2 linked regions of the Styela clava genome follow. Each later gene encodes a partner of the first gene's protein in a complex. Links are inferred from orthologs where the notes say so. Each region holds a gene or a part of one and is shown on either strand. Other genes may lie near its edges.

What was found.
Region 2: signal peptidase complex subunit 2-like (region 1) and signal peptidase complex subunit 1-like share a complex: the UniProt entries of both Drosophila melanogaster proteins name them as parts of the signal peptidase complex. The link is inferred for Styela clava from reciprocal best matches to the Drosophila melanogaster genes Spase25 and Spase12.

What each region holds. Positions count from the first base shown.
Region 1 is NC_135256.1:9,465,454-9,476,107, reverse strand, and holds signal peptidase complex subunit 2-like, read left to right. Parts: upstream 1-5,754; 5' UTR 5,755-5,906; coding exon 5,907-5,930; intron 5,931-7,174; coding exon 7,175-7,249; intron 7,250-7,509; coding exon 7,510-7,665; intron 7,666-8,087; coding exon 8,088-8,227; intron 8,228-8,644; coding exon 8,645-8,825; 3' UTR 8,826-9,570; downstream 9,571-10,654. Other genes in the region: uncharacterized protein LOC120329088, read right to left, coding at 9,994-10,132. UniProt on the Drosophila melanogaster protein: Component of the signal peptidase complex (SPC) which catalyzes the cleavage of N-terminal signal sequences from nascent proteins as they are translocated into the lumen of the endoplasmic reticulum.
Region 2 is NC_135256.1:13,507,528-13,518,115, forward strand, and holds signal peptidase complex subunit 1-like, read right to left. Parts: upstream 2,295-10,588; 5' UTR 2,170-2,294; coding exon 2,137-2,169; intron 1,830-2,136; coding exon 1,770-1,829; intron 1,453-1,769; coding exon 1,366-1,452; intron 919-1,365; coding exon 793-918; 3' UTR 613-792; downstream 1-612. Other genes in the region: NADH-quinone oxidoreductase subunit B-like, read left to right, coding at 3,157-3,467, 4,354-4,777; chitobiosyldiphosphodolichol beta-mannosyltransferase-like, read right to left, coding at 7,183-8,598. UniProt on the Drosophila melanogaster protein: Component of the signal peptidase complex (SPC) which catalyzes the cleavage of N-terminal signal sequences from nascent proteins as they are translocated into the lumen of the endoplasmic reticulum.

The sequences.
Region 1 (10,654 bases):
TGTGGCACCAAACACCAACAAAATGTCTCAAGTACAGGTACCGTACCGGTAGGTCATAGGTACCAGTATCGCAAACTACAGAATTCTGGAATTTAGGATAGGATAGGATTTACATATTTATCCCGGGGGAGAGGAAAGCCGATAAGACGGCTTATCCATATGGCGAACCACGGCCTCTCGTCCGGTTACCATTCCAAGTCGGGTATGGGATTAGTTTTACTGTATTGTTTGTTTTCGGAAGCATGGACTTGGTGGTGGAGGAAGCCGTAACCGACCAGCGGTTACGTGAACCACCCAATCTGTTTACTAGGTTTCCGTACTGGTCTAAGGTTACCTACAACGGGACAAGTCTAACATTTGTTAAAAATTAAACATCTGAACATAACATATTGGCCATCTACCTAGGTAAAGCTAGCAGACAGTTACCGGTACCGGTACCGGTACCGGTACCGTACCCGCATCGAACCCGCGGTGCCGTGTACCATGAATTGATCGCAAATAAAATGCACAGTTGTCGCGAATTTACTTACTGTAATTGCGACACGGTGGATGCGATTATAGGGCGATTCCCCTATTTTTAAATCAGAGAAAGACGTAAAATTTAATAAAACAGAGAAAGATTGAAACAATACATTTTGTACTCGGTAAAAAGAATAAATGCCTAGCCGATATAAGTTTTACCCATTTATTGAAATACAGACGAAATCGGTATGTTAGTCGTTGAAGTAGCCTAAGTCTTGACTTGATTTTTTGGGTTTTAAACTTTCAACATCTTCAAATTCAAGAGGAAAGAATTCCGTAGTCTAGGCCCAGTATAGGACATGGCCCACAGATTTACTCATGAAGGGTAGGAACAAATTGGAATTACTTCTTCGGATGAAGGTATTTTTGGCAAGTATGTCGTCAAAGCAGTTTGGTAGCGCATTATTGTAGTAAAAGTCGAATGTTAATGATAATACTGCAAATGCCATCATATCTCCAATTTAACCGTTATGTGCTTTTCATGGATTAATTATGAGAATGCGCGATATACATATAGAGGACTTGCACGGGTCACGTGACATTGTTACTGGACGGCAATAAAACAAAAACGTCCATTTGGCTCCTGTCAGTTGCAAGTCGGATTATACGTTTGCGTTTTGTTTGGTTGTTGAAAATGGTTATTTCGTTGTTCTGTTGGCTGTACGTATAGTATAGACATGGACGAAATGGATCTTCAGTAATATTCCACTGATTTCAAAAGATCCTGAACGTCGCGCAATGTGGATATCATCTATTGCCTATTGGCAGAACTGCTTGGTGTCAAGTCCAGAAGCCATCTTACTTGTGTTTCACTGTTTGCGGACAGCACTTCGTTGATGGTGAGTGATAATGTGGTGATAGTGTGCCGTTATCAATTTCTTTAAATATTCACAAGCTCCCTCATTTCAATGGAAAGCAGATGACAAACTACTGTTATCAGTAGGCCTAGGCGTGGGCCTACTTGCAGTTGCAGACTTGACTTGTGTAAGACAGTAAGGAATTAATAATCAATTGCTGTACTGCTGTAAGGTCTGACAGAAGGTATTGTTTCCTGATTAGCAGGTAATCTATTACTAGGTGTGAAAGGTTGAATATATAACTAAAGTTTAACACCACTGGTCATGCAAAAAATAACCAGAATTCAATTTAATTCGCCATCTAGGAATACGCTCGCCACCGCATCTCTGATCACCCTGGTAGTTTCACAGGTTTCAATCCCATGCGGGGATAGTTATGTGCTAGAGGATTGCAGCTCCACTCCCACCGAGGGTGGTTCACATGGCCGCTGATCGGTTACGACCATTCCCCACCATCCAAGTCCATGCTTCTGAAAACAAATAACTGGCTCCCCCCCCCCCCCCCCAGATAAATCCTATCCTAATGGTGCTTGTACAACTGATTCAAAATGTCTTTTTATTGTCATTGGTAAAAAAGATATGCTACCTACCCGGAATCAAATTCATTTACGACTAGTGGCTGTGGTGGGATATGGACATAAATTTTACCCGGGCTGGGCATTTCCATTCGAATCGAATAGTAAATTATTCGAATCGGTTCAGACTGGAATTTCGAATCGCCGCCATCTTGTTTTTATCTTTCCGCTAATGGTCGAGGTGAATTCCCCAATTTTTTTTTCATTGAAGTCATATTTTTTCAACGAAATTCTAACATATAACTATTTTCTGTAGTGAGTTATTGATAAAACGTGTTTGTTATTCTGTGTGAACGCTCAGTAATCTATCTGAGTGATTTATTCTATGTCTTCAATAATTCATTTGTTGAGAGGACCAATTACTATGATAAAGTCGCTTACAATTTTATATTTTCAAGTATTCGAGATTCGATTCGAAAAAATTATTCGATTCGATTCTGAAATCGAAATGCCCAGCCCTAAATTTCACACTCCTTGATCGTTAGATTTTATGAAAACTCTTATCTGTATCCATTATCTTACAGATATGGGTGCGACCATGGAATAGATGGATGGCAAAGTATAAGTTGCAACAAGACCACAGTGGCACAAGACCTCAGCTTGCGTGACTTGATAATACATCCTCAGTATCCATTTATTGATGCTTATCGTAATGACAAAGTAACTTGTCATTACTGTGGATTGGTGGAGATAAAGTGTCCATTGTGCTTTAACGAAATCAACTTCAAGACGACCCTATCAAGAAAAAAAAATTGTTTCGGTGGGTCTGGTCGTGAAGGTTTCAGTCTAACGATGGACACCGATACTACAACCAGATACAGTTGCCAATGAAACTTAAGCGAGGCGTAATATTGCGACTTTGTGATCTGAAAGGAAATTCTGATGGGTAGCCAGCTAGCCGCAACCTTTTGTTTAAAGAATATTATGAGATACGACTTAAGAGTCTAAACTTTTATTTGAGAGGGGTGTAACCCAAGCTAATTTGCAAATAGTATTCATGGTACCAAATGTATCACACACTTTACAGTAATTATAAATTATATTTGAAAAATAAAGCACATCAAAAATGTATTTTCAAAAAACAATTTCTTTAGTCAAAAGGCACACTTGATTCGCAAAAATTTGTGAATGCGCACAGTACACCAATTTGTCTAATGTTTTGATTCCATAGGCAGGATGTTGTGGATCGGTGCTGCTCAGGATGGGATATTTTTGCCTCTAAATGCATATTATGTGTTTCACATGAATCCATCGTGCTCAGATTCGACTGTTTTCAAGGTCTGAAGGCTCCAACAGCCTTATTTTATGGGTACACAAGAGAATTTTCAGTGTGGCATGCATGGGTCAGTTGGAGTCACTAACCTCAAGATATCTATAAGCAAGGATAAGATAACCTGGAAGTAACATTCCATAATTTAGAGTAAAAAATGTATCTGCCTCCACAGCCCTTTCAAATGAAAGATATGATGCCTCGGGGGTAATTTCTATCAAATATTTTACAGTATTATGGTTCTAGTGAAAAGGGGTGTGGGCGTTTTTTTTTAAGTGTGGTAGGTCTAGTCGAAAGACACATTAAATGTTTATGCTAACAACTGCGAATTAATATTGCAACGCATACAAGTTAACAGAATTTGTTGAAATGGTCCTGCCTTTTTCCTTTCTTCAAAATCCTCCTTTTTCGAACTATTCTCTTCTTCTCTGGGGATGGCGAAAATTCAAATATCGATGGGACCTGTAAGCAGCTGATAATGGGTTATCTTCCCTTTTTCCTGAAAATAAATTAAACACTAATCATCATTTGACAGTGCCAAGTTTGTGTATCAGATCAGTAATAAATTACCTGCTAACTACCAAAATAATCAGACAACACCTTCTGACCATTAATGAAGAGTTCTTTCAATTTAAAACGCAACTATGCCTACCAATGTGGGTAGTTTTTAGGATAGAATTTATCTGTGGTTGGGGACAGATTGCAAGGTGCAACATCGTACGATTACCATTCTATGTCGGGATTAGTTAGCCAGTTATTTGTTTTAGAAGCATGGACTTAATGGTGGGGTATGTCGTAATCGCCCAGCGGTCGTGTGAACCACCCTCAGTGGGAGGAGCTCAATCTCCTCGTCCCCTCGCACATAACTATCCCCGCATGGGATTGGAACCTGTGAAACTCCCATCTGCCCATGGGGATCAGAGATGCGGTGGCGAGCGTATTCTCAGATAGAGAATTCAATTAAATTCTGGTTATTTTTTGCATTAGCACTGGCATTAAACTTTAGTTATCTATTCAAATTTTAACAATTACTAATAGATTACCTGCTAACTAGGGAAACAATACCTTATGGCAATTATTGATTAATATCTTACACGAGTCAAGTCTGCAAGTAGGCCTAAGCCTACCAATAACAGTAGTTTGTCATCTGCTTTCCATTGAAATGAGGGAGCTTATGAATATTTAAAAAAATTGATAACGGCACATCATGACTCACCATCAACGAAGTGCTGTCCGCAAACAGTGAAACACGAGTAAGATGGCTTCTGGACTTGACACCAAGCAGTCCTGCCAATAGATGATATCCACATTGCGCGACGTTCCGGATCTTTTGAAAACAGTGGAATATAGCTGAAGTTCCATTTCGTTGTCTATACTATACGTACAGCCAGCGGAACAATACGAAATAACCATTTTCAACAGCCAAACAAAACGGAAACGTATAATCCGACTTGCAACTGACAGGAGCCAAATGGACGTTTTTGTTTTATTGCCGTCCAGTAACAAGGTCACGTGACCCGTGCAAGTCCTCTATAGGGGTACAAGCTCCAAGTCTTGGATAAAACGCACATTGTGAAAATGGGGTACGATGAGGTAGGGTATAGTTAGGAAACTAAAATATGAAGGGTGAGTATGTTTTTTGGATGGATAAATTTTGAAGGGAGAAGACCATCGTCCGTCACTTTGCGAAGTTCTGAAAAGTTTGGTGAGAGTTCCACTTTGGGTGGACTGTGCCAGCTTCCCAATACCAGGCGCGGCGGTGTGGCTCAACGGGCTAAGCGTTAGGAATACGCTCGCCACCGCACCTCTAATTACTCTGCGTGGGTTCGCAGGTTCGAATCCTATGCAGGGATGGTTATGTGCGAGAGGATTGCTGGACTCCTCGCCGTCGTTGGGTGGTTCACGTAACCGCTGGTCGGTTACGGCTTCCTCCACCACCAAGTCCATGCTTCCGAAAACAAACAATACAGTAAAACTAATCCCATACCCGACTTGGAATGGTAACCGGACGAGAGGCCGTGGTTCGCCATATGGATAAGCCGTCTTATCGGCTTTCCTCTCCCCCGGGATAAATATGTAAATCCTATCCTATCCTATATACGCGAAAGAGTCACGAGGGATGCGAACCTGCAGGGTAATCAGATGTGCGGGGACAAGCGTATTCCTGACGCTTAGCACGTCTGAGCCCTAATTTGAACTATTGAAAAAAAACAGTTGTTGACTAGTGTCGATATGTGCATGGAGGAGTTGCATCCTTTAACTAAAGTTACCGTATCTTATTTCCAATGGCTTGGAAATATTACTCCATCTTTTTTCGTTGTAAAGGTATGAGTCTCCCAAATTTAAGTATTTGTAAAATTAATGAAAATAGAAAATCGTTCTGATACGAAAACCTACTCAAAATGTTTGTTTGAAACTTGCACCCTTGTTTGTGACTCGAAGCAAATGCACCTTCCTCTATTTTTTGTAGGTTTTTTCGCCTTTTCAATATATGTCTCGGGTTCAATGAACTTAGGACACGTGCCTGTCACGCATGAATGGTGTGGGAGTCTGACGGCGACATATGTTTGTGCATTTAATTGTTTTGTAGCAAGTAGATTACTCTTTAGAAAGTTCCTCCCGTTCTCTCGTCCTGATTTTGAATATTCTATTGTAGCAGCGTATCGATAGTCTGAAGAAATAATGGCTAACGACGATAGCAAGCAGGTGGGTGATTATGATGGGTATGGTACGGTATCGTATGGCGCGGCGCTGTGGCTCAACGGGCTAGAGTGGAAGTGGTGACTCCTCTACGGCCCATGGGCCGGGGCCACGGCCCATCGAAATCGGCCTCGGCCCATCAATTTTTGTAAAGGGATAAAATAATAAAAACTAATAAATATGTAAATCCTACCCACTCCCCGAACTCATAATAGAACTAGGCCTATAATGTGAAAAATCTGAACAAAATTTTGTCCTAACCCTAACCTGGTAGACTACACAAACTTCAGGTGTATCCTTTTCTGTAGCTTGGTATTTTGCTTTATTTTTATTTAAAGGCTTATTGTAAGAAAAAGGTTTGGTGGCATACTGGCATCCCGCGATTTTTTTTTGGTTCGAATATAATTGAAAATTTTGGCAAGATAATTGAATTTTTTTTGATGGACCGCGGCCCATAGCTTGATGGGCCACGGCCCATGTGGCCCAATTAGATGGGCCCCGGCCCATGGGCTGTAGAGGAGTCACCACCCCTGTAGACGGGCTAAGCATTAGGAATACGCTCGCCACCGCAACTCTAATTACTCTGCGTTGGTTCGCAGGTTCGAATCCCATGTAGGGATAGTTATGTGCGAGAGGATTTCTGGACTCCTCGCCGTCGTTGGGTGGTTCACGTAACCGCTGGTCGGTTACGGCTTCCTCCACCACCAAGTCCATGCTTCCGAAAACAAACAATATAACTAATCCCATACCCGACTTGGAATGGTAACCGGACGAGAGGCCGTGGTTCGCCATATGGATAAGCCGTCTTATCGGCTTTCCTCTCCCCGGGATAAATATGTAAATCCTATCCTAAATCCTACTAAACATATTCTTGCATAGCAATCTGCGCAGTACGGTGTTGTTTGGATAATTACTCGCAGAATTTTGGGTTCGATATTTTCCCAAAATGTGTAAGATTGAATCGAAAGAACTCAATTTATCAATCGATAAATTGTTCTATCTGATTTCTAACACTTGGGTAGACTACATAAAATCATATATTTACGTTACCCGGTTAGTCAATTCAAGGTTTTTGTAATATCACATGGATGTTAACGTGGAATCAGCATACAGCTGCACAGAGATCATGCATGAAATTTTGCAAAATTTTTTTTCCTTACTACATTCTCACGACGACGACAATGTTTGACTGACATTCTACAATGTATAAATTATGCCATGCTCACTTTTTATTATTCATATATTCATAGGAGGAAAAACCATTCAAGGTGGAAAAGTGGGACCATAATGCAGTGAGAATTGCATTGGATGATGCTGCTAAAAAGGTTTGTTCTCTTCCTTAATTAAATTTCCAGTTTGACCGTCTATTTCTTAAAATCTTATAATGAAACAATTAATTGTTTCAGATTTATATTTCCAAGCTTCCAGCCATGTTTTTAAGAAAATTGTGAGGCCTGTACATTTTATATATTCCAATTTAAGTGTACCACGGTAGTCTACCACGCGAACATTTTTTTCTAATCACCAATGCTCTCAAATACCTAAACTCATTAAAATGAACTAGTAATTCGTATTTTGCATTCAGATAATCCTCGACAACCTTGGTTATCAAGAAGACTTCAAGTTAATTGATACTCGCCTGGCAATATGTACAACTGCTGTTTTATTTGCATTATTTGCCTTACTTTGGGATTATCTTCATCCTTTCCCAGCATCAAGGCCTGTTATTATACTTTGTGTGGTAAGCACGTTTTTATTAAGCTTTAGGTACTCGAAAAAAACAGTTGGGGATATCCTGATAATTTGGTTCATACAAAATTTGAAATTAACTTATTTCAAAAAGATTTATTTTAAGAATTCTGAATTTTTTTCTTTTTTTAATTGGTAAATCAGTGAGTCATGTCCAATTCTAAATGAATTTGATAGAAAAATAGAATATTAAGATCCTAAATTTATGGATATGGACAATACCAGAAGTAAGAGGAATATTTGTGTTTGAAAGCTTATAATATTGGTAAGTTCTTAGACTTGTTTTCCGGAATTTTAGAGTATATATAATTTATTTATTGTTTTACTAAAATATTGCTGCCATTTGGTCATTTCTCTCTATAATAATAGAAGTTTTGATACATTATATGTCAGTTTTCACTTGACACATTTTAGGTCTCATATTTCGTCCTTATGGGAGTCTTAACAGCTTATGCCAACTTTGTTGAGAAGAATGTATTTTTGCTTGCAAGAGAGAAGGATATAGCAGGTGTAGATCCAGACATTGTCTGGACTCTATCATCGACAATGCCGAAGTGAGTAGTATTTATTATATATACATTGCAAGATATAACTGATGGACATCTGTATTGTAGGAACAAGTGAAGTGGATCTCAGAACCAAATATTCCATTCTAGTGTACATTTGTATGTTCTTGTTGTGTTAATTTCCTGTCTATTCTGAATATGTAGGTTCGAGTACAGTTCTCATAAAGTTAGATTACAATTTTATCTCAAATTTGTTGATAGATATGTGGCCCTTTTTGGGAAAGGTGATGAAAAGTGCAAATGGATGTTGTCAATTTTTTCCGCTGATTACTAATCAACTTATTATAATATAAAAACTATTTCGAGTAAGCCTTAGTGTTGCTCAGTTAAAAACCATCATTGTGTATAATACAATTATGATATCAGAATTTCTTGATTAAACTACATGAGATATGTAAATAACAGGTATGATGAAAACTACACACTGCAAATAGTCGTTAAAGACCCACAAGGTGAAGAGCGAAAAGCAGAACTGACAAAATCTGCTGGAGAATATTTTGATGAGAATGGCCAACTCATGGATAGCTTTGAAATAAAGGTCATGGAGCTACATCGGTCCCTATCACAAAAGAAAAAGGCCCAATGAAATGAATACTGTTTATTTTTACTAGTTCATTTGGTTTCCTCGAAAGTTGTCATTTGTTGTGTCCCTCTTTGCAGAATCCGAACAGATTTGATGGTTAAGAAATAATTTCATTTTTCGCCATTGGGCGAGGCTCTCCACAACTAATCACTAAATATGTCCTGTCTGAACGACTTCATTACTGTATCAACATGGCTTAAAGTAAATTACCACTCTTGTAACAATAATTTGCCTGCAAATGTTGAGATTTTATATGGCGATTCATAGTATCTGTTCGTTTTATGTATTCTCTCCCATATGGGGTTCCTGTATTCATTTTGCCATTCAAGATTCCTCCTCATTGTACCAGTCAGCATTGTTTACTACTTTCATTGTTTGACCAATCATGTTATGTTTTACTTGACTGTTTAGGGAAACAACATTTCATGTTTGCTGCTACCTAAGTTGGAAGCGAGGTTATATTTCAGTTACCAGTCAATGCTTCTTTCCAAATGTGCATTTCTATTTTTTCTTTTACACCTAGGTCAGGTGGAATAACCTGGTAATGTATGGTAAAATAGCTTCCACAGGAACATTCTTGCCCTTTTAAGTGTTGATGTATTCAATTTGCAAATGTGAAGAGTTACAGTAATGTTAGAATTGAAAATCATTAATTAAGCAAATTTTTTAATGCTTTGCTTTTGAAGATATGCAGTGAATGATTGAATATACTCAGAAATGCACAGAATATAATGAACGAAAAGTGAAATTTGACTATAGTAAGTTAAATTAAAGATAGACAGACACTTGAAAAATGTTAGTTAAAAAAGTTATTGTAGGTAATACTAATACCATTAACAATTTGATTTACCCTTTGCTTGACAACATCTGGTAAATTTGAGGAAAATTAGAGCGGCTATCATTTGGATCATTCTGGTAGAATAGGATTTACATATTTATCCAGGGAAGAGGAAACCCGATTAGACGACTTAATTGAGTGATGAACCCTGGAAGCCTCTGGTCGGGTTACCAGTCCATGTGGGGTACGCGATTAGTAGATGGACTGTTGTGATTGGTGGAGATTATCGAACACGAGAGTGAGACCTTTTTGTTTTTAGACACAACTGGTCGTAGTAATGCGGGGAGAGATTAAAGTAAGATATATGTGAAAAATGCTAAAGGTGTTGTAGTCTTATTTGCGGTATTTTCCTGATGATGTCTTCAACGTCGTTAGGACCGACTTCATGCTCCTTTTGTCTTGTGCGATTGTTGGGCAGTACGAGTCTGTGTGTGCTTTATCTCCTGTTGCACCACAATGCTTGCATCTGTACCTAATAACAAGTATAAAATGCTTGAAATAAGATTTTTGCTTGTATTCTCAATGATATGACGAACCAACGCCTCTTAGTAAGAAATGGGAGTATTCGGTTGATTAATCAGACGTGTGGCCTTTCATGTTTTAGGATTTTCATATTTATCCCGGGGGAAAGACTTATCTTATAGCCACGGTGGAGGAGGCCGTGATCGGCCAGAGGTTAAGCGAACCACCATACGGTAGGAATCCTCACGTGCATGATTATGCGATAGCAAGCGTATTCCTAATGCTCAGCACGCTGCTCCAACCGCCGAGTTTGATGTGTAGAAGACCGTGAAGAGCAGCGGATAAGTGAACCACTTTGTGGACCAAACTGGTGTTGGGTAAAACAGCATTTATCGTTTGATCCAGCGGTCTTCACTAGTGCGCCCCGAACATTTAATGAATTTTGTTTAACATAACTAACATGTGATTGATTTAATATATTGTATTTATAATAAATCTTTCTATTTCGTTTACTTTCTGGTACGTAGTGTCT
Region 2 (10,588 bases), about 4.0 Mb from region 1:
GAAATATAAGCGATTAGGGAAGGGAATACAAGAGAGAAGTGCAGAAAACAAACCATTGCGAGATTGGGATGCCATTCCCAAAAAATTTTCGTGTCTTATAAACTATGCAACTGCATTACTTTCCGTGTTTTTATCTACATATGCTTGTGAATATCTTGTTCCCAGTCATGAACTTTATTAAGTCTCATAATAGGAGTAGCATGAAAGATGAAACCAGTAGTTCATGTACTCCTTTGAAAGTTACAAAATATAAACCCAATGTAAAATTTCTATCAGTGGTAATGCAACAGCAGAAGTCTCACTGATATAGAATAAGCAAAGTAATCGAATCTATTCCGAATAGCAAATATGTCTGTAGGTCTACATGTTTAAAAGGTTTATTATTGTGTATTTTTGCTTTGAAAGTAGCAAAGCATTGTTTTTAATTTTGGTCGGCACGCGGGAGAATTTTATCGTTCAATTTAGCCGATTTGGCAAGCAAGCCGAAAAAGGTTGCCCACCCCTGATCTAGCCAAATAGCTATTGCCAGGCTCTGAGCAAAACATGGGCACGATCTGTTTCTTTCACTATTGCTGACATCTCGATTCCTCACAACAACAAAAAAGACCAATATTATACAGTTGCACCATCCGGCAAGAAGACTTATATATAATATAAGACACAATAAAATAAAGCAGTCACTGCATAAATCTGGACTTCACATTCATTAGCATATAATATTCCATTTCCTGTTCTATGTAAGGTAGACGAAAATTCTTCTTTTCTCGTGCCCAAATGGCAATGAAGATATTTTTATTTTTGCTTCTTCTTGCTTCCCTTTTGTTGTTGTTGTTGGGATTGTGAAGATTCCATCTCTGGTTGAGGCTTCTGCCACTTGATCGGATTTCTCCTATACATGGGCCAAGGTGGCAATGTTAACTGAAATAAAAAACTTTAGATGAATTATCAAATCTATATGATGGAAGGAACTTATTTGTGTACAACGGTAGGAGTCCTGGTAAATTCTGTAACAGCGTTGAGAATTAATATGCTTCTCATTGACAATAAAGACTTTATCTTGCAGTGATCGACATTAAAACTGCCTATTTAGAGGTATTGATGCACAGGCTGCACTTGATTGATTAAACTTTTTCACCCAATTTAATGTGTAAAATACATGGAAAATTTTTCTGGTAGATAGCATAAATTTGATATACATTTACATATATACATTTACATAAGATTCCTTTGATACATGATGTTCAGCAAGGGTTCTTAGTTTTCCATTCGGGCCGTACTAAATTTTTTACACCCATTTGCACATATGTACTCATGTGCACAATCATACCAGGCTGTACTATTTTATTTTAGCTTATTTCCTCTTACCAAACATCCCAGGGCACACCCAGCTGCCAGTATGTACATCATATACGACATCTGTTGAAACATGTATCCCACAATAAAGCCGATGACCTGCAAAACAAACCAAATGTCACTCGTGCATATAAGCATTGGATTTTCCATTATCTTGACAATGCTGTAAGAACTGAACCTCTCGTCCGGTTACTCAATAAAGAATGTAAATTTTCAACTACTTAAACATGGTGGATTGGGCATCAACTAAATAAGAAGTTAAACAACTTTACGCCATCAAATTCAGCAATCTTATTGCGTATGTATGATCATGCTCCTTCGAATTTGACTCTTTGTGGGGTCAAATTATTATTGTGTGGGTACGTATCCAAGCAGTTGAGATTAATAAAATGAAAGTGCTTTCAGAAAATACTCACTCCAAATGTCACTGCAAGAACCTGGAACAGTTGTTCGGACAGTTTTTGTCCTTGATAATCCTGAAAGCAAATATATATTGTAAATGGAAATACATTAAAGCTTTATATAAGTCTGCACTCAAATCAATGGCTGAGTGGATTATGATCTCTGAATTTGGGAAGCTTTGATGAAAAATAGCTGTATCTGTGTAGCCTATACCTACTCCCACATTCTGACATTACCATAACTCTTCTGGCATGTTGTACACACACAGACACACTCAATAACCAGATGATTTACCTTCCATGAGTTATTGTCATACATAACTTAATCCATTAACAAATTCCTCATTTTACTTACAAGTGAAATATTAAATATGGGACTTACCATATGTGTCGGAATGCTGTCGAATAATCCCATTTTGAATGTTATTTCTAATCTAATTCACGAATACGGACTAAAAATGATTTAAAAAAGAATAAGAGTAAACACGTCGTATCATACCGTATATATTTGCGCGCACTACTGCACTACTAAAGTAAAACAAGGCGCTTCAACCCTACGAACGCAAATAACAAACTTGCTTCCACAGTTTCCAGGTTTCAGACATGAGGCACACATCATACATGCATAAATCTTTAAAGTCTGGAATATGATTGACAGTTCGACCATCAATGTACGCATTGGAACTTTGTCAAAAAATATTAGGAAAATGCGTTTTTAGATCTGTAAATGAAGCGAATTTTGTGCAAAAAAAAATATTTCAGGATGTAAATTTGATTTTTAATATTTTTTCCTATATTATTTCCACAAATTGGTATTTGTCACAATTTTTTTAGCGAATTTCTGGCAACAGATGTGTAATGGCCACGTTCGCCTCAAATCTGAATACTGTACTGTTAGTGGCTTAATCGGTACTTTACCAAAACGTTTTTCTGGCGTATTATACGTTTTTAATTTTTTCATATTTTTAATATAGTTGGTGTCAAAACACTTTATACAAGTACGGGCACATCTGAATGATTATTTGCATGGATGATTAGTACTGTACCTCTTCACACAAACCATTAATTTAAAAATTCCGTCGAAAAGACACAGCGATTGCCCTACATTCTTCATATAATTATTCTGTCGTATCGAATCTTATTTATCCATTTGCCTAAATAAATACTCTCCCTGAACTGCGTTGGGGTTGCAATGTAGTGTATGTCTACCAGTAAATTTGATCTTTGACCGTGATATATACTCTTTGACACAGTCACGTGATCGAGAGGAGTACTGAAGAACAGCAACAAATTCCAAGTCGATCGCTAGGTGTTGTGAGTTCGTCGCTGTCTTCAAGGTTTCGTGTGATTCGTTTTTGGTAATGATGTAAACGTTGTATCTCTTCGGACATTCAAGAGAAACATGGCTTCACTAATACGACATTCATCATTTTGGGGAGTTTCTCGGTGGTTTAGTTCAAGGGTTTGCGCAAGAACGTTGCATGTGAATCACACAGCGGAAACTGACAAAAAGCCTTCAGTAACCGAACCTTCCCAAGCAGCGCAGCCGTTACGACAAGAAATTTCAAAGTTGATGCATGCACCAGACAGAGCTGAATATTTTACAGCTAGGGTTGATGATCTTATTGGTCACATCCGTTCCAACACATTATGGCCTATGACTTTTGGACTAGCCTGCTGTGCTGTGGAGATGATGCATTTTGCTGCCCCAAGGTGAATCTTTGTTTTAAACAAATAATTGTTTTCTTACACCAGTGTATAAATCCAATACTTTTCGATGAATAATGTAAAATTCGACATATAATTATGATTGTTGTAGTCCTTTTTCGTTTCTAGATTCGCCACCTTAGCCTTTCAACATTTCTCGTTGTATTACTTTCTAACACATTTGTTGAAAAAAATGATGCAAGACTATTATGTTTTATATATTTTGGGATGTTTCAGACTTGAAAGTAATTGTATATGATACAGGCCTAACAGTATAAATGCAACGGAAATACCTATCTTGGTATTGTTGTTGATTTGATAGGCGCGGTGGTGTGGCTCAACGGGCTAAGCGTTAGGAATACGCTCGCCACCGCACCTCTAATTACTCTGCATGGGTTCGCAGGTTCGAATCCCATGCAGGGATGGTTATGTGCGAGAGGATTGCTGGACTCCTCGCCGTCGTTGGGTGGTTCACGTAACCGCTGGTCGGTTACGGCTTCCTCCACCACCAAGTCCATGCTTCCGAAAACAAACAATATAACTAATCCCATACCCGACTTGGAATGGTAACCGGACGAGAGGCCGTGGTTCGCCATATGGATAAGCCGTCTTATCGGCTTTCCTCTCCCCTGGGATAAATATGTAAATCCTATCCTATCCTATTTTCAAAAGAAGACTGTACAAATAAGTGTGACTGTGTACTGTATCTATATACAGATATAATGGATTGACTCGATTAAAACCATTTTCAACATTATGTTTATGAAAATGAAGTTTTCTTCAAGACATTCACAAATTAGAATCTGCTTGACGTTGATGAATACTAAATAACCAAAATTACATTCCGCCCAATTTGTGTATTGTCTGTTCTATTAATCAATTTGTATTTCAGGTACGACATGGATCGATTCGGTGTTGTATTTAGAGCAAGCCCTCGCCAAGTTGATCTTATGATTGTGGCTGGAACTTTAACAAATAAGATGGCACCTGCATTACGCATGGTATATGATCAAATGCCTGATCCCAAATGGGTACTATCGATGGGAAGTTGTGCCAATGGTGGAGGGTATTATCATTACGCTTATTCTGTTGTAAGGGGTTGTGATAGAATCGTGCCAGTAGATATTTACGTTCCCGGATGTCCACCAAGTGCGGAAGCCCTTCTATACGGAATTCTTCAACTGCAGAAGAAAATTAAAAGAACAAGAAATGTCTCGAGATGGTATCGTAGTAGGCGTCCCTACATCAAAACTCGTACAGAAATGCTTGAGAAAGTTACTTCGGACAGCTCAACTGGAGAAGTTGTCAAACAATAAAAAATATCATTTTGTGCTCTTGCTTTGTTCAAAATTATCTCACTCTAATATTTCTTTTATGTCCATTAAAAAGTTGAATCTAAATCTTAACCATGGACTTGTTGAAATTACACTTATAGATGAAATTAACAGCCGGATTGAAGTTAGTTGCAGTATAGATTTATAGAAGTATTCTCATTCTCAGGGTTCAGCTTGTAAGCCAGGCATGATTTACTTTTTGTGGGCGAAAGCTACATATATATGATCTGTGATGGATTGTTAACAATGTTCCTACGCTGCAAATTCATTCATTTGTGACATATCTAGTTTTGCATTCAAACTGTGAAAGCAGCAAGAGATGACCTCAGGATGGTTTAAAATAATTGCTTCTCTACTAATAATATTTAATTTGGGTTTCATCAGTATATTGCAGCAAATCAAACAACTACTTAGAAATGCAAAAGACTTTACTCTGTGCCTGCCTGGCTCATTCTAATCTAAGCAATAGTGTCTGCTCTTGGATTATTTCTAGTATGGATTGCAACAGCAGCATCTCTATTGCAATAGCTAAATGCTTGTTGCACATGGCATGATTGTTTAATTTAGTTAAAACGGTCTGTTGTAAGCAGGGCTGGGGCGCCGGAGCTGGAGTCGGAGTTGGAGCCAAGCTTTTCATAACAGATGGAGCTGGAGTCGGAGCCGGAGCTACCAAAAATTTAGTGGCTCCAGGCTCCAGCTCCTAAATATCTCATTTTTTGTTTTTCAAATTTATAATTTTTTTCTGATAGCGTTACAAATGATAAAATCTTTTCTTTTCAGCTTATAATTCATTTTAAAAATTTTAGTTCCTAATATTTTTTGAAAAGTTTCCAGTTATTCTGTATGTTTGAAAGTTTAGTATCAAAATTTGAAGCGGTTCGCTTTTATCAAAATCTTGATTCTCATTTCCACTAAGCTGCAATTTTTCATGATTGCGGTCAAGCTCAAAAACCCTAATGGCCAGGGATTTTCGAAGAAGTGATTTTGGAATTTCCATGTAACATATTATGATTTTTTCGTGGCGTTGAATATCCAATCCATTTCAAATGTCTTCAATTCTGTTCAACGTATCTCGAGATTGAGTCGTTTCACGACAAAAGAAAGGTTTAGCTACTCCAAAATGCACCGCAGCAGTCACCTATCATAAAAATGTATGGCAAAGTGCCCCATTACGGTATATCTTGTTTTGATCCATAACATAGCATGTTCTGGAGAAAAGTCTCATCAATTTCCGTTGTTATTTTTTGAATATATAAAAAGTATATCGCGAGTAAGATTGATTGCGTTTAGATTTATTTTAGTGACTGTATAATTTTCAAAGTCAACCGGTAAATAATATGTCGTAGGCAAAAAAAATAATGAGATTAACAAGGCATTTTTTTTTAGCTGTTGGGAGTCTCCGAGAACAAAGTTTATAGTGTTTTCCGTTTCATTTTAGTATCTTATAATAACTCACCATATTTGTGAGAAAACGAGTTATTACATAATCATCGGTGATGAAATTCTAAGATAAATAAAGAAGTCAATACGCAAACCAAATTTTCCTGATTAAAAAGCGACATTAGAAAATACTAAAAATAAAACAGAAAACACCATAAGTTTTGCTTTAGAATGGCCCACGACAGATTTTATTTGGCTGCATGATTGCCAGTTATGTTGAACACAATTAAATTAAAATAAAAAGACAGTTATTATGGGTTAAATATTATGTGGTAGAAAAAGTCATTATGAGCTATTTTACCGAATGCGCAAACGCTGCGACCATTCCAGAAGCCGATTTTCCTTCCCGTCTTATTGTGGGGTTATATGTAAAACCCTTATATGCGGGGTAGACCGATTCGCCCGGAAATACACCATATAATAACTCTCAGTGGATTCACAAGTTACATGCAGGAACAAAAAGGAATTATCATGACACCGACTTGAAGGGTGTTTACAGCCAAAATAACATGCCACACTTAGAAAACAATTAGCAAAATGCGTTATTGGGCTGCACTGCCAGCTCCGGCATTAAAAAAATGAAGCTCCGGAGCCGGAGTTGGAGCTAAAGATTGAATACACTGCGACGCTGGAGCCGGAGCCATCATGATTTCGAACCAGCTCCCCAGCCCTGGTTGTAAGAAACCCCATTGGTTCGGGTAACATTTTGTGATAAATTAATGTCTGCTGTCAACTAGATTTTTTTTTATACATTGTTCGTAAAAAACATGTCACAAGTACAACACATTGAATTAAACATTTACAATCATGCTACAAAAAATACATTAACTAACAAATATAAGTACAACAGAGTGATAGCTAGATAATGTATGGGGGAACAGAAAGAACAAATGGGAATTTCATCCATCCAATGATTGAAAAATATTAGACAAATGAAGTAATAAATATTACGACTTGAACAATGGCAGCACAATTTCATCCCAATTTTTCGACCAAGTTGATTGACGAAACATTTTCAAATTATTTCTCATATTTGTTAAAGTTTGTTGGTTTCGAGGAAAGCCGTCTAGCAGTTCACATAGCTGATCATGCAGAGTATTTTCATTGTTAAAAATTACACCATTTATGTTGTCTTGCACCAACTCCTCAAGACAGTTAAACCCTATTGCAGCAACTGGCACACCACAACCGAACATGTCTACGACTTTCATTGGCAAGTCAAGGCCACTGGATGAAGTATGTAGGCATACTCCAAGATCAGCACTCCCAATTAATAAGGGATAATCTTCTGCTGTCAACCATGGTGTGACTATTTGAACGTGTTTCCAGTCAATTTTACTAATTTCATTCAAATAATATTTCTTCATCGGCCCTTTGCCAGTGATAGCACATATAACATCCGGTAAATTTTCATTATTCAATTTTGTTTTATCGTACATTTTTAGAGCATTTAGTAATATGGAAAAATCTTCATCTTCTGTCCAACTTGTACTGCTTACGATGAAAGCAGGACGATTATCTCTTGCTGTGACACTCCCATCTTTTGAAATAGTACAAAATGTGCTATCGTCATTAGGGCTAAAACCAAACTCAGGATATTCATGTTTCAATTTTGAGAAAAGATCATGCTTCTCATTGATACTCAATGGCTTGAAGATTTCAGGTGGTCTATCATAAAGTACAATGGCATGTATGTGCCAGTTATCCTCCAGGTCTTTCTGCATTGCTTTGGTGACACATATATCACTATACACCAGCTGACCAACAACTTTTTCATACCAATGTGCCAGTCTGACCAATTTATGATTTTTTCCCAAACTCATACCAAGTATAGTATAACCATAATTATGCCAGTCAATGATGACTTTGCTGCCGTTAAAAATCCCAAATAGCCAGCATATGAACATACAAGGGATGCAGGGCGGATTTTGCATGAAAATATATTCAGATGCACCAACTTTAAAGAGCAGCTTTGTGCTGAGTATTAAAGACTGCATAATCACTTTAACGAAGTAGGCAAATAATCGAGGAAAGTAATTAGAAAAAGTATCTTTTGTGAGGCTATGTAATACAATTCGTTTGCTGTCTAGAATCTTTTGACTCGGGGTTGAGTCACCATAACCAACAATGTCCACATGAAAACCATGTTTTTCTAATGACAAAGCATGATATTGCATTCGTGGACTTCGTCCTATATCACCAAGAACAACAACTGTAACTTTTGACATTTTCTTGCTTGAAACTTGCCATCTGCGACATAAGATAACAATGATAAATAATAGAAGTATACGACACAGGAAGGTGATAGGCACCAGAATGAATGTATTTATACTCGAGAGTAGATAATGTGTTGTCGGATCCATTTTACAAATGATTCTGCACACTATACAGTTAGGCCTATATCTGTATATGGAATTAATGAGGCAATTTTAACTGTAAAGAAAATAAATAATAGAGAGGAGATAACCAATACCTGAATACTGCAATAGAGACCAGCAGGTGGTTAGATTATCGTATCTTTGAAATTCTGATTTATTATAAATGGGGGGTAAAGGGAATACCGGTACCGGTACCGTCTCACATTAGTCTGTCATTTTAGTTACATAGATAACGTTAGTCTATCATAAATGGAAAAAGAGGTGGCGGATACCTGGATAGGGTTTACATATTTATCAATAGGAAAGGAAAGCCGATAAGACGGCTTAACCATATAGCGAACCCACGCAGAGTACCGTAATCCAGTAATCTGAGGTTCAGTGGCAAACATATTTGGTATTCCTAACGCTTAGCACAATGAGCCAAACGCCTCCTCTAGGTGGTTCGGTACTTACAGGCTTAGGAAAGAGTCAGACAGGCGACAGGAAGTAGGACAAGACTATTTCTAATGACTTGCTCAATTCTACATCAACTACTGTACCGGTACGTACCACATTATTTACGCTTTGTACTACATGACAAAAGGCTGACTGTGGACTAGTGAACCACCTGACTAGATTACTATATTTTGCTGCTTTTGCCCGACAGCTCAGATCCATTGAGGTGTATATAGACTATATGCTATAACACGAATTCTACAAACAAAACCGACCTTTGACCCCCGAAAATTTTCCTTCTATGAACCTTTCCCCAACCTCTGACCCACGGAAAATTTTTGGGGCTATGAGTTGGCGCCTGTAAAATGGGGCATTTGTTTCAAACCATCATTAGGATTCATCGCACAAAATATTCTGTTTGTTAAAAGTACCGGTAAATAGAGCCCAAAAACGCGAAAACGAGGTAATGTTTACGACCACTCTTGAAAATCTGTCTGAGTGAGGACAGTGTCTGAGCGGATGCAAAAAGGGAGCATTGTAACGTCATTTTTTCCATCTTGCTGATTGGCCAATGTCACGAAGTAAACAAGGAAGTCGATGCTCGGGGAAAGCTCCATACTTTACTATTATAAAATTTTCGGGGCTTATTTTAAGAGTGGTAGCGTGAGTTGGCGCCTGTAAAATAGGATATTTGTTCTAAAGTCTAAACCATCATTATAATTCATTGCATACAATAAACTGTTTTTTCAAAAATACTGGTAAAAAATTTCAGCCTAGTCTATCACAGCTATTTCTACACTATTTTTTTTATTACTGCAAAACTCATAGGAAGACAAAGTGATCATTGAATTATCTGATTTATAATTAAATTTCCGAAACAAAACTGAAAACTAACGAATAGCGTTCAAAAACGCAAAAACGAGGTAATGTTTACGACCACGCTTGAAAATCTGTCTGAGCGTAAATATATACTACTACCATGAGAGAGAAAAGTGTCTGAGCGGATGCAAAAAAGGGGCGTTGTTACGGCACATTTTGCATCTTGCTGATGGGCCAATGTCGGGAAGTAAACAAGGAAGTCGATGCTCGGGGAAAAACACATAAACTAGTTAGATGTCAAAAACATTCTTTTGTATTTGAAATATTCAACTAACCAATATTTAGAAGTAATAATAATAACCAATTTATGCTTTCACAGGTTTTTCGGAACTGACTTTTGTTCGCCACAAAAGAAATAAGATTAACATATTTATCCCGGAGGAGTAAAAAAACGATAGGACGACTTAATCATTTGGCGAACCACGCCTAAATTCATTAGCGTACGGTATGTATAAAATAAAATACTGAATACTGACAAATAGCACTCGAAATCACGAAACCATGTCTGAAATCTCTCCGCCCGTCAATATTGTCCGATGATAATATTGTCAGCTTATAATTGGGACAGTTAATTTACAATCATTGGTTTTTACAATCAAAGATCAAAACCGGCGTAAAAGATAAAAATCAGAATAAAATCTCGAATTCACTCTCTAATAGC